2 linked regions of the Caenorhabditis elegans genome follow. The protein of the gene in region 1 purifies or fractionates together with the protein of each later gene. This does not show direct contact. Each region holds a gene or a part of one and is shown on either strand. Other genes may lie near its edges.

Evidence for each region. The genes of interacting proteins can lie anywhere in the genome.
Region 2: the proteins of tkt-1 (region 1) and cyn-7 fractionate together in Caenorhabditis elegans (co-fractionation; one large-scale study listed by BioGRID). This does not show direct contact.

What each region holds. Positions count from the first base shown.
Region 1 is NC_003282.8:10,241,037-10,246,737, forward strand, and holds tkt-1 (transketolase), read left to right. Parts: upstream 1-2,575; 5' UTR 2,576-2,579; coding exon 2,580-2,700; intron 2,701-2,751; coding exon 2,752-3,425; intron 3,426-3,471; coding exon 3,472-4,246; intron 4,247-4,330; coding exon 4,331-4,617; 3' UTR 4,618-4,671; downstream 4,672-5,701. Other genes in the region: lipl-7 (Lipase), read right to left, coding at 1-245, 526-628, 682-768; F01G10.10 (BPI2 domain-containing protein), read left to right, coding at 5,126-5,212.
Region 2 is NC_003283.11:15,185,439-15,189,160, reverse strand, and holds cyn-7 (Peptidyl-prolyl cis-trans isomerase 7), read left to right. Parts: upstream 1-1,782; 5' UTR 1,783-1,800; coding exon 1,801-1,869; intron 1,870-1,917; coding exon 1,918-2,169; intron 2,170-2,283; coding exon 2,284-2,478; 3' UTR 2,479-2,579; downstream 2,580-3,722. Other genes in the region: bath-36 (BTB and MATH domain-containing protein 36), read right to left, coding at 1-520, 581-687; Y75B12B.3 (Transposase), read left to right, coding at 2,901-3,137, 3,188-3,235. UniProt on the Caenorhabditis elegans protein: PPIases accelerate the folding of proteins. It catalyzes the cis-trans isomerization of proline imidic peptide bonds in oligopeptides.

The sequences.
Region 1 (5,701 bases):
CAAATCAAATTCCGACATTTGTTGCCACGTGAAATTCCAAAATTTCTGATTTTCCGGTCCATAGCCAATATGTTTTTGTGATGCAGGAGTTCCACGGCTATTTGCAATCCAAATATCAAAACCTGCATCGGCGAAAACAAAACCAGCCGATTGATTTGCTAGATTCGGAATCCAAGAGAATCCGTCCGCAAGGAGGCCGTGTTGCATGAATACTATTGGACGTTTTGAGCTTCTGTCACATTTTTCTGAAAAATATTAGAGATGATATCAAAGGTAATTCACAGCAAAATTCAATGTATATTAAATTATTCAAAAACTTCTTTTTTTTGTTGACAGTTTGGAAATTTACCAATACTGGAACAAAGAGAAATCTGAAATTATTCATTTTGTTTAATCGGCCATGTTAAAAATCAATGAGAAAACTTGTACAAAATCTCTACTGCCGATACTTCATTTTGAAGTTTCCGTTTACGAAATAAATTTAATTTTCAAATGTCACATTTTTAACTAAAATGACAGACTTACCATTTTGTTTACATGGGATTCTGTGAAGTTCCAGAATATACTCATCCGTTGTTCTCACTAAATGTACTTCTGATTCATACCCAAAGTGTTTTCCTATTTCTGGCTACAAAAAAATTTGTTCTGAGATTAATAAAATAATTTTTCTCAAAATCTTACCACAGTCATGTAACATTCATCGTCAATAGCTAGACTTAAATTTATAGAAAATGAGAGTAAAATCAAAAATAAATCGATTTTTGACATGAATCAAAAAACCTTGGGAGGAGAGGTTATATGGCAGAGCAACAGGATGAGTGTTGGGTCACACCTGTTGTAACAATTACCACCTTGGACATGTCAATAACATATGTTGGGGTCAAGGATTAGGTACTTTTCAATTACAAGTGAAGTATTTTTAATAGATTAAAACACCAAATGAACAAATTTCGCGTTTTCTATTTTAAAATTCATCTTCAATCTAGATATTGTAAATGTACATGTAAAACTATTCACATTTTAGGTTTTTTAAAATGGCATTTAGGTTTTAATATTTATGACGATAGCTACAGTAACCCTTGCTTGGCACACTCCCTCATACTTATATTTCACGTGGTGTCAGGTTGTAACGGTTTGATCTCCAAGAAATGCGGGAATTTTTTCCCCAAAAAAATGTGACGTCAGCACGTTCTTAACCATTCAAAATCAGTTGAGAACTCTACGTCTAAACTCCCGCATTTTTTGTAGATCACAACGAAATGGGACATTCTGACACCACGTGATATTTGAGTACTCAAGTTAACAATGAACAATTATTTTATGCTAAGTTTTATGTGGTACTTGTTTAAATTAATGACTGAAAATAGTGAATCATAAAATTGCACTCTATGCTGTAACTTTTTTGGGATTTAAAATTTTTAGGACAAAATATAATAAGTTCGATTTTTGCATCTCTTTTTATTATAACAATTTAATTAAAAATACTAGCATTTTTCTTTCCAGAAATCCCGATTATTCGTTTCTACACATTATCAGAATTTCTAGACCACTTCTAGACCTACAAACTTCGGTAGATCAAATATGGAAGAATTGATCTTGACCCAATTTGCGACAGCGCGTGGTTTCTGATTTCCTTTCTCTGCATATCTCGCCGGAGGCGAGAACGCTCATTCGGGTTCTTTTACTTACTTAACCCCAATTTTTATTTTCTTTATTTTCCGCATTTCTTTAACAGATTTTCGTAACTTTTTTTCTCAATAAATTCCCTATTAAGAGCATATTTTCTTTCCCCACGCACAATAAGTTAGCTCATATTTTAAATACCGATATCGATACTTTCTCGAGATTCCACCTTGGCGCCAAAAAGTTTCAAACGCGGGGCCTAGAAAACACAATGGCCGCGAAAGTTTTCATCATTTTTTTTGTGAGAAATCAGAGAGCGCTCGAGAGCGCCGCTGTTTTAGTCGGTAAACATTCTTTTTTGTGCGCAACGATCGAGAATTGTCACTGTTTTCATATACTGGTATATTTTGTAGTCATTGGATCTCCATTTTAATGAAAATTTCCTTCAGAACATCTGCGTCTCACTAGAAAGTTAGTGTTTCCGTTGTGATGAAACGCGTGTTGGGTTTTTTGGACATTGTCTTTTCATACTTTCAACGCAGAAGAAAGCGGTGTCTTTTTCCACGATTTTATATGTCCAAGAAAAACATTTTTAGGCCTGTCTTTTCAGTTCTTTATTTATTCAAAGTACAGAAACGAAGATGAAAACGTTAACGTTGCGCTGCCCGGTGTTCTTTAGAATGACATTTTTTGCCAACACTTTGCAATTTTTGCCTGAATTTTGAGTTGTTTTCTCGGCCAGTCTCCTGTTTTATGCAGTGGTACCATTAGTAAATAATAGATAAGAAAATGGTGGTGCGTTGAGATGATAATGATACTAGTTGATAACGATAAGGTGTATGTCTCTCCCTGTGTGAAACGGCCGACGATTCACTATTTTCTTCGAGAATGTTCTTTGCCGTTCTTATTCTGAAAATTTTAACATTCTCCCAAAAATCCATTATTTTTGCAGGAGAATGACCGTTTCGGAGCAACTTCGCAATGATTTGGAAGACGCTGCCAACCGCATGCGTATTTCCTCGATCGAGATGACTTGCGCAAGCAAAAGTGGACATCCCACGTCTTCTACGTCTGCTGGTAAGAATTATTCAACATTTACTCGAATCCGATAAATTTCAACATTTTCAGCCGAGATTATGTCAACTCTGTTCTTCTCGGAGATGAAGTACGATGTCGCAGAGCCAAAATCAGCATCTGCCGATCGTTTTGTTCTCTCCAAGGGACACGCTTGCCCAATTCTCTACGCTGCGTGGGAAGAGGCCGGTCTTCTGAGCCATGAGCAAGTGCTCTCTCTCCGCAAAATCGACTCGGACATCGAAGGACACCCCACTCCTCGCTTGAACTTCATCGATGTTGCTACAGGATCTCTCGGACAAGGACTTGGAGTTGCCACTGGCATGGCTTACGTCGGAAAGTACATTGACAAAGCCAGCTACCGCGTCTTCTGCCTTCTCGGAGATGGTGAATCTGCTGAAGGATCTGTCTGGGAAGCTGCTGCTTTTGCTTCAATCTACAAGCTCGACAATCTCGTTGCTATTGTCGATGTCAACAGACTGGGACAAAGTCAAGCCACTTCTCTTGGACATGACGTAGAGACCTACAAAGCTCGCTTTGCCGCTTTCGGATTCAATGCCATTATTGTCAACGGACACAATGTTGATGAGCTCTTGGCCGCATATGAGACTGCTCGTTCCACCAAGGGAAAGCCAACCGCCATCATCGCCAAGACTTTGAAGGGAAAAGGAATCGAAGGAATTGAAAACGAGGACAATTGGCATGGAAAGCCAGTCCCAGAGGGAACAGTAAGTTTGACGTGAGAATGAAATAGTCTCATATTAAAAATTTCAGGTCAATGCCATCAAGGCTAGATTCCACGGAAGCCAAAAGGGAAAGCTCGTTGCTCAAAAGCCAATCAATGACGCCCCTGCTATTGATCTCCATGTTGGATCCATCAAAATGGCTGCCCCAGAATACAAGAAGGGAGACAAGGTCGCCACAAGAGCCGCTTACGGAACTGCACTTGCTAAGCTTGGAGATGCTAGTCCACGTGTCATTGGTCTTGATGGAGATACCAAGAACTCTACTTTCTCTGACAAACTTCTTAAGAAGCACCCAGATCAATTCATTGAGTGCTTCATTGCCGAACAGAATCTTGTCGGTGTAGCTGTGGGAGCGCAATGCCGTGACCGCACAATTCCATTCACCAGCACATTCGCTGCATTCTTCACCCGAGCCACTGATCAGATCCGTATGGCCGCTGTTTCATTTGCTAATCTCAAATGCGTTGGATCTCACGTCGGAGTCTCAATTGGAGAAGATGGACCAAGTCAAATGGCTCTCGAAGATCTTGCAATTTTCCGTACTATCCCAGGAGCAACTGTTTTCTACCCAACCGACGCCGTGTCTGCTGAAAGAGCAACAGAGTTGGCTGCCAACACAAAAGGAGTTGTTTTCATTCGTACCGGCCGCCCCGCACTTCCAGTTCTCTACGACAATGAAGAGCCATTCCACATTGGACAAGCCAAGGTTGTGAAGCAGTCAGCCCAAGATAAAATTGTTCTTGTCGGATCGGGAGTCACTTTGTACGAGTCATTGAAGGCCGCTGAGGAGTTGGAGAAAGAAGGTTTGTTTTTTTTGTTACGTTTTACTTTTTAAAGTTTTATTTTCAAAAAGAAACTGTATTTGAAACTAAAAATTATGTTTTCAGGAATTCACGCCACTGTTATCGATCCATTCACCATCAAGCCACTGGATGGAAAGACCATCGCCGAGCACGCTCTGAAAGTTGGAGGACGAGTTGTTACTACCGAAGACCACTACGCAGCTGGAGGAATAGGAGAAGCTGTTTCCGCTGCTCTCGCTGATTATCCAACGATTCGTGTCAGATCATTGAATGTCAAGGAAGTTCCACGCTCCGGACCACCAGATGCTCTCGTGGACATGTACGGAATCTCTGCTCGTCACATCGTTGCCGCCGTCAAGAACTTCCAATAATGTATTTTTAATGCCTCGTATTATAGTATTATATAGCTTTCCTTTATGTTTACTTGAAATGGTTGTGAATTTACAGCAAAATGAAACAATTTAAAAAAAGGTGCATCGCAGTTTGTATAAGCTTCTCGCACGCGTCTAGACAATAAGAAGGCCGTTTCGCGGGCATTGGATGTTTTGTGGCGAGGCGATGACGGGGATCGAAACCTGTTCGGTACCCGAATTGATACACTTCTCATCTACATCTTCTTGTCGTTTCTGAGAATAAGCGATACAGAAGATGAACACTCACGGCTTCTTAGTCTTTTTCCTCTTTCCGCTCCTCACTTTTTCATTTTCCTTTCAATTTCATGATTTCTCTTTTTAGGAACTGATCAATATTTCTGATATGAGGATTTCTCTTTTTTAGACGGTTCTTTCAAATAAAGACCAAAGTTTTCAATTTTTATATTTATATAACGTTACTAGCAGTATGCAAACATGAAATGAGTTTTTATTTATTTTTCCAGTTATGAGAGTTCTACTATTATTTGGATTCTGTGTACCATGGCTTTCATCGGGACAAGAAATCACTCGGGATTATTCTCCACTTCTTGATGTAAGCTTATCAAATTTATTATCTGTTCGGCAGATCTTTATCGATTTGATTGGAAAACAATGGTTGTGGCATTTCATATTTTGAAACATTTAAATTTTTTGGACAGACCCTTTTTTCACATACCACGATTATACCTGCTTATTTCTCCAGGCTCATTTCAAAATTGAAAGAATGAAACGCGAAGTTTTGCTTTATCTACAAAAAAAATAATACGGTATACGATATTTGCGAAATGCGAAGAGTGCCCTTTGAAGATTACTGTACTTTTAAAAAAATTATCGCAAGATCTCGTTATTGATAGTTTTTGAAATTTGGCAGCAAAGTAACAAATTTTAATGAAACAAAAAACTGCATTTGACACCATAGAAACAATGTTGCATATATCAATTTAATATGACATCTCAGTGACTTCAGTGAAACACTTGTTTTACCGTAGTCCAAATGAAATTAAAAATCTAATCTTTCATAAAATCTTCATCAACATATTCA
Region 2 (3,722 bases), on another chromosome or scaffold:
AGAGTGGGTCACATCATCGATTTTGATCTCAGCCTGTGTCTTTTCGGCGAAATTCGAATAGAACATTTTTTGGAAGAATTGCGAGCTCGTTGCGAGCACTTGCTTGCCAACATGGACATGTTTTCCTTCAAGCACCAGCACAACATCGGTAAGATGTTCCTTGGGTTGATCGAAAGTCTCGATAATCCTCTCATGAATTCCGGCAATCTTGTTGACAGTAATTTGGACTTCAAGAACGGCATGCTTATCGAGCACAAATCGATTATCGTAGCAGATGGCTTCCTCCCAATTTTTAAAATTGTTGACCACCACAATCTTGTTCAAGTCGTCGAACTTTTGCTGAAACTCCATCGAAAACGCGTCATCATCCTCGTTTGAATTGAGTCTCAGAAGTGAAAAACGAATTGACGCATCGCAGGACCACAAGTTGCTGCGCAGTTCCTCGTTGCATTTCAGGTGAATTCCGAGATGTTTAGCATTGTTCGTAGCGTCGGAAGTGCTTGTGAATGCTCCAAGAATCCTTAAAAGATAATATTTTAAATAATTTAGAACATTTTTTGTTTCATTAAAATTCACTAACCATTCTACGTGTCCAATTTGCACTGGTTTGTGCTCCGTCGCCTTCGCCAAGCCAGAAAAATTTTGAATCTCAAAACGAATTGATCCTTTATTGTCTTTTCCAGACATTTTATCTTGTGATAAATTTAATTTGAACAATGAAGAAGAATTTGAAACAAACAATTTAAGCTGAGCAATGCTCTCACCTACAGTACACTAAATGGCTTCGAGACCAGTCAAAATTTATAAAGTTTATTGGTCTATTTCTAGGACTTTCACATTAACCATTTTTAGCACATCACGATGTATTTTGTGCAGATTTTATTTTGTCCTTGTACGAAAAGATTATTTTTTAGCGGATAAGCAAAGCTAATCTTGACGAACCGCTTCGCAGATACCCGTCACATGCAGAGCTTCATATTTAGCTCAATCGATCTCGAAAGCATTCAACAAAATGAAAAACTGTTGGATTAATTTGTGATCTATTTAGCAATTTAAAATGTTCTCAATGTTTCTCAATGTTAAATCATCTCGATATTTCTCCTTCTTTTCGTGAAGACCGTGGTGATGATCGAACTGATATCAATGACCGGTTTTTCAATGTAATCTTTTATTGCCTACAAAAATTGTTATCAATTTCGGCGCCGTTCTGTTGTTTTGTGTACGATCATTTGAAAACACAGGCGCACGGTGAAAGTGTTGACAAAAGGCGGGAAACACAGCGAAAGTGTCGTCAGATATGGCGCATGTCGTATGATTGGGTGTCGGGTACGCAGACACTTTTGCGGACTTTGTTGTTTACGTCGGAAAATTCTAGAAGCGAACGGCTCATTTCTTCTCTCTTTCGTCGCCTAATTTGTTGATTTTGTCAGAATTTTTATAGTTTCGCTTATTAAAATGAATTAAAATCAATTGAAAATTATTTAAGAACTTTTTTGATGTGCAACTGTCGTTTAATCCTTGTTGAATCACGTCTTTCGGCAGATTTTAGGCCCAACAGGAAAATTAATTTAGTTGGGCCTAAAATTTTCTGTTTTAGTGCGCTAATTCACTCCATTTCAGTATATAGCTCATCCGTGTGCTTCTTCCTTGTATCTTATGGTGCTTTGTTTATATTTTTAACTTTGATTGATTCCCGCTCTATTACCGCAGAGCGTGTTTGCCGCACCTCTGTAGATATACCTATCTCATACATATTTCTCAACTATAACTCAAGCATTTTAGTGATTACCCTACCTGAAAATGAGCCGCCCAAGAGTCTTCTTCGACATCACCATCGCCGGAAAACCAACCGGACGTATCGTTATGGAGGTAAACAAAACACTGATCTTTTTTCATGAAATTAAATCTTATTTTCAGCTCTACAACGATATTGTTCCAAAAACCGCTGAGAACTTCCGTGCTCTTTGCACTGGTGAGAAGGGAGTCGGAAAGTCCGGAAAGCCACTCCACTTCAAGGGATCCAAGTTCCATCGTATCATCCCAGAATTCATGATCCAGGGAGGAGACTTCACCCGCGGGAACGGAACTGGAGGAGAATCCATCTACGGAGAGAAGTTCCCAGACGAGAACTTCAAGGAGAAGCACACCGGACCAGGAGTCCTTTCCATGGTAAGTTATGTTGCCTAGCCAGATTGAAAGACAGCATAAACTGATAGAAAAGAAGCATTATCTAGTTTCTTAACTGTTATCCACTGGCTGATAAGTTTCATTGTTTTTCTTCAGGCTAACGCTGGACCAAACACCAACGGATCTCAATTCTTCCTCTGCACCGTCAAGACTGCCTGGCTCGACGGAAAGCACGTCGTTTTCGGACGTGTCGTCGAAGGATTGGACATCGTCAGCAAGGTCGAGGGCAACGGAAGCAGCTCCGGAACTCCAAAGTCCGAGTGCCTCATCGCCGACTGCGGACAGCTCTAAATTTGTTCTCCGTGAGAACTTTTCTTCTTTTCAATCACCCCATCCAACCCTGTTTATTGCTTCACTTTTTCATCTTGATCATCAATAAATTGCTCGAAAAGAATATAGTTGTTCAGTTACATGGGTCGTACTCGAGGAAGCCTTCGTGAATTGTTCTCAACAGCTTGGAGAGAACTGTAACATTGTAGAAGCGATTGAAAGCGTCGATTTCCGTCATTTTGTTCCAATCTCTGCGCATTCTATCCTGAATTTCAGACAACCGTTCGAACTCTGTTGACTCGTGAAGAGTAAACACATAAAATGGAATTGTTAGAGGAAAAGCTGTAAATTGTGCAAATATTCAGATTTCGAGCATAAAATGTAGGCATTGTTGCCAGCTCTTCACATTCTTTTGGTTATTCTCACTTGTCAGATTCCTAGAAATGTTTCCCGAGATTCTTAATAATGAAAAACTTCGATTGGAGAACATTAAGAAGATCTATGAATCGAGCAAGTCTGGTTATGAATCGGCCAAACAGTTGTATGAGCAGCAGGTCAACAATCCGGAAGTTTCGGATGAGCAAAAGTCGGAGAATTTGGAGAAATTGAAGGAGTCTCGTGGTGATTTGGACAACTTGCAGAAGAAAATCGTCGAGCTTCAGGCGAAGATTGAGAACTTGGTTAGTTGAATACCTTTTTAATAAAGCTCCAGTAGTCTCTCCATTTTCAGAGCAAACTCGGCGGGCAACAAGGAAATCCATTCAAGAAGTTGTTCTAATTTTTGATATTTTCTTAAATGAACTTTCTTCCAGTTACAAGAGTATTACAGGCGCTAATATTTATTTACAATTGTGGCAAGCTATTTCAGAAAATAATGTGCGGGTTAGTAGGTTTGGGTTGTACACAAGAATGATTTTAGTCCTCGTCGGAGCTCTCTTCCGAATCCTCTTCGGAATCCGAGTCATCATCTCTCCGAGCGCCGATCCCTTTTATCTTTCCGACGAGCTTTTTGATGAGAGATGGCTTGTTCTTCTCTTCGTATTCTTCCAGATTATCGTGAAGCTGAAAATTGGAACATTTATTGTGAGAAGGCTTTTTGAAAACATACTTGAGATCTGAAATCGACGATCTCTTCAGCCGAAAAGTTCGCGACAATGAACTCTCTGATAGCAGGCTCTCCGAATTTGCACATCTTCAGCACGTGCTCCTCCTCATCCGAAAAATCACCGTAATCATCATAAATTTGCAAGTATTTCTGGAAATTC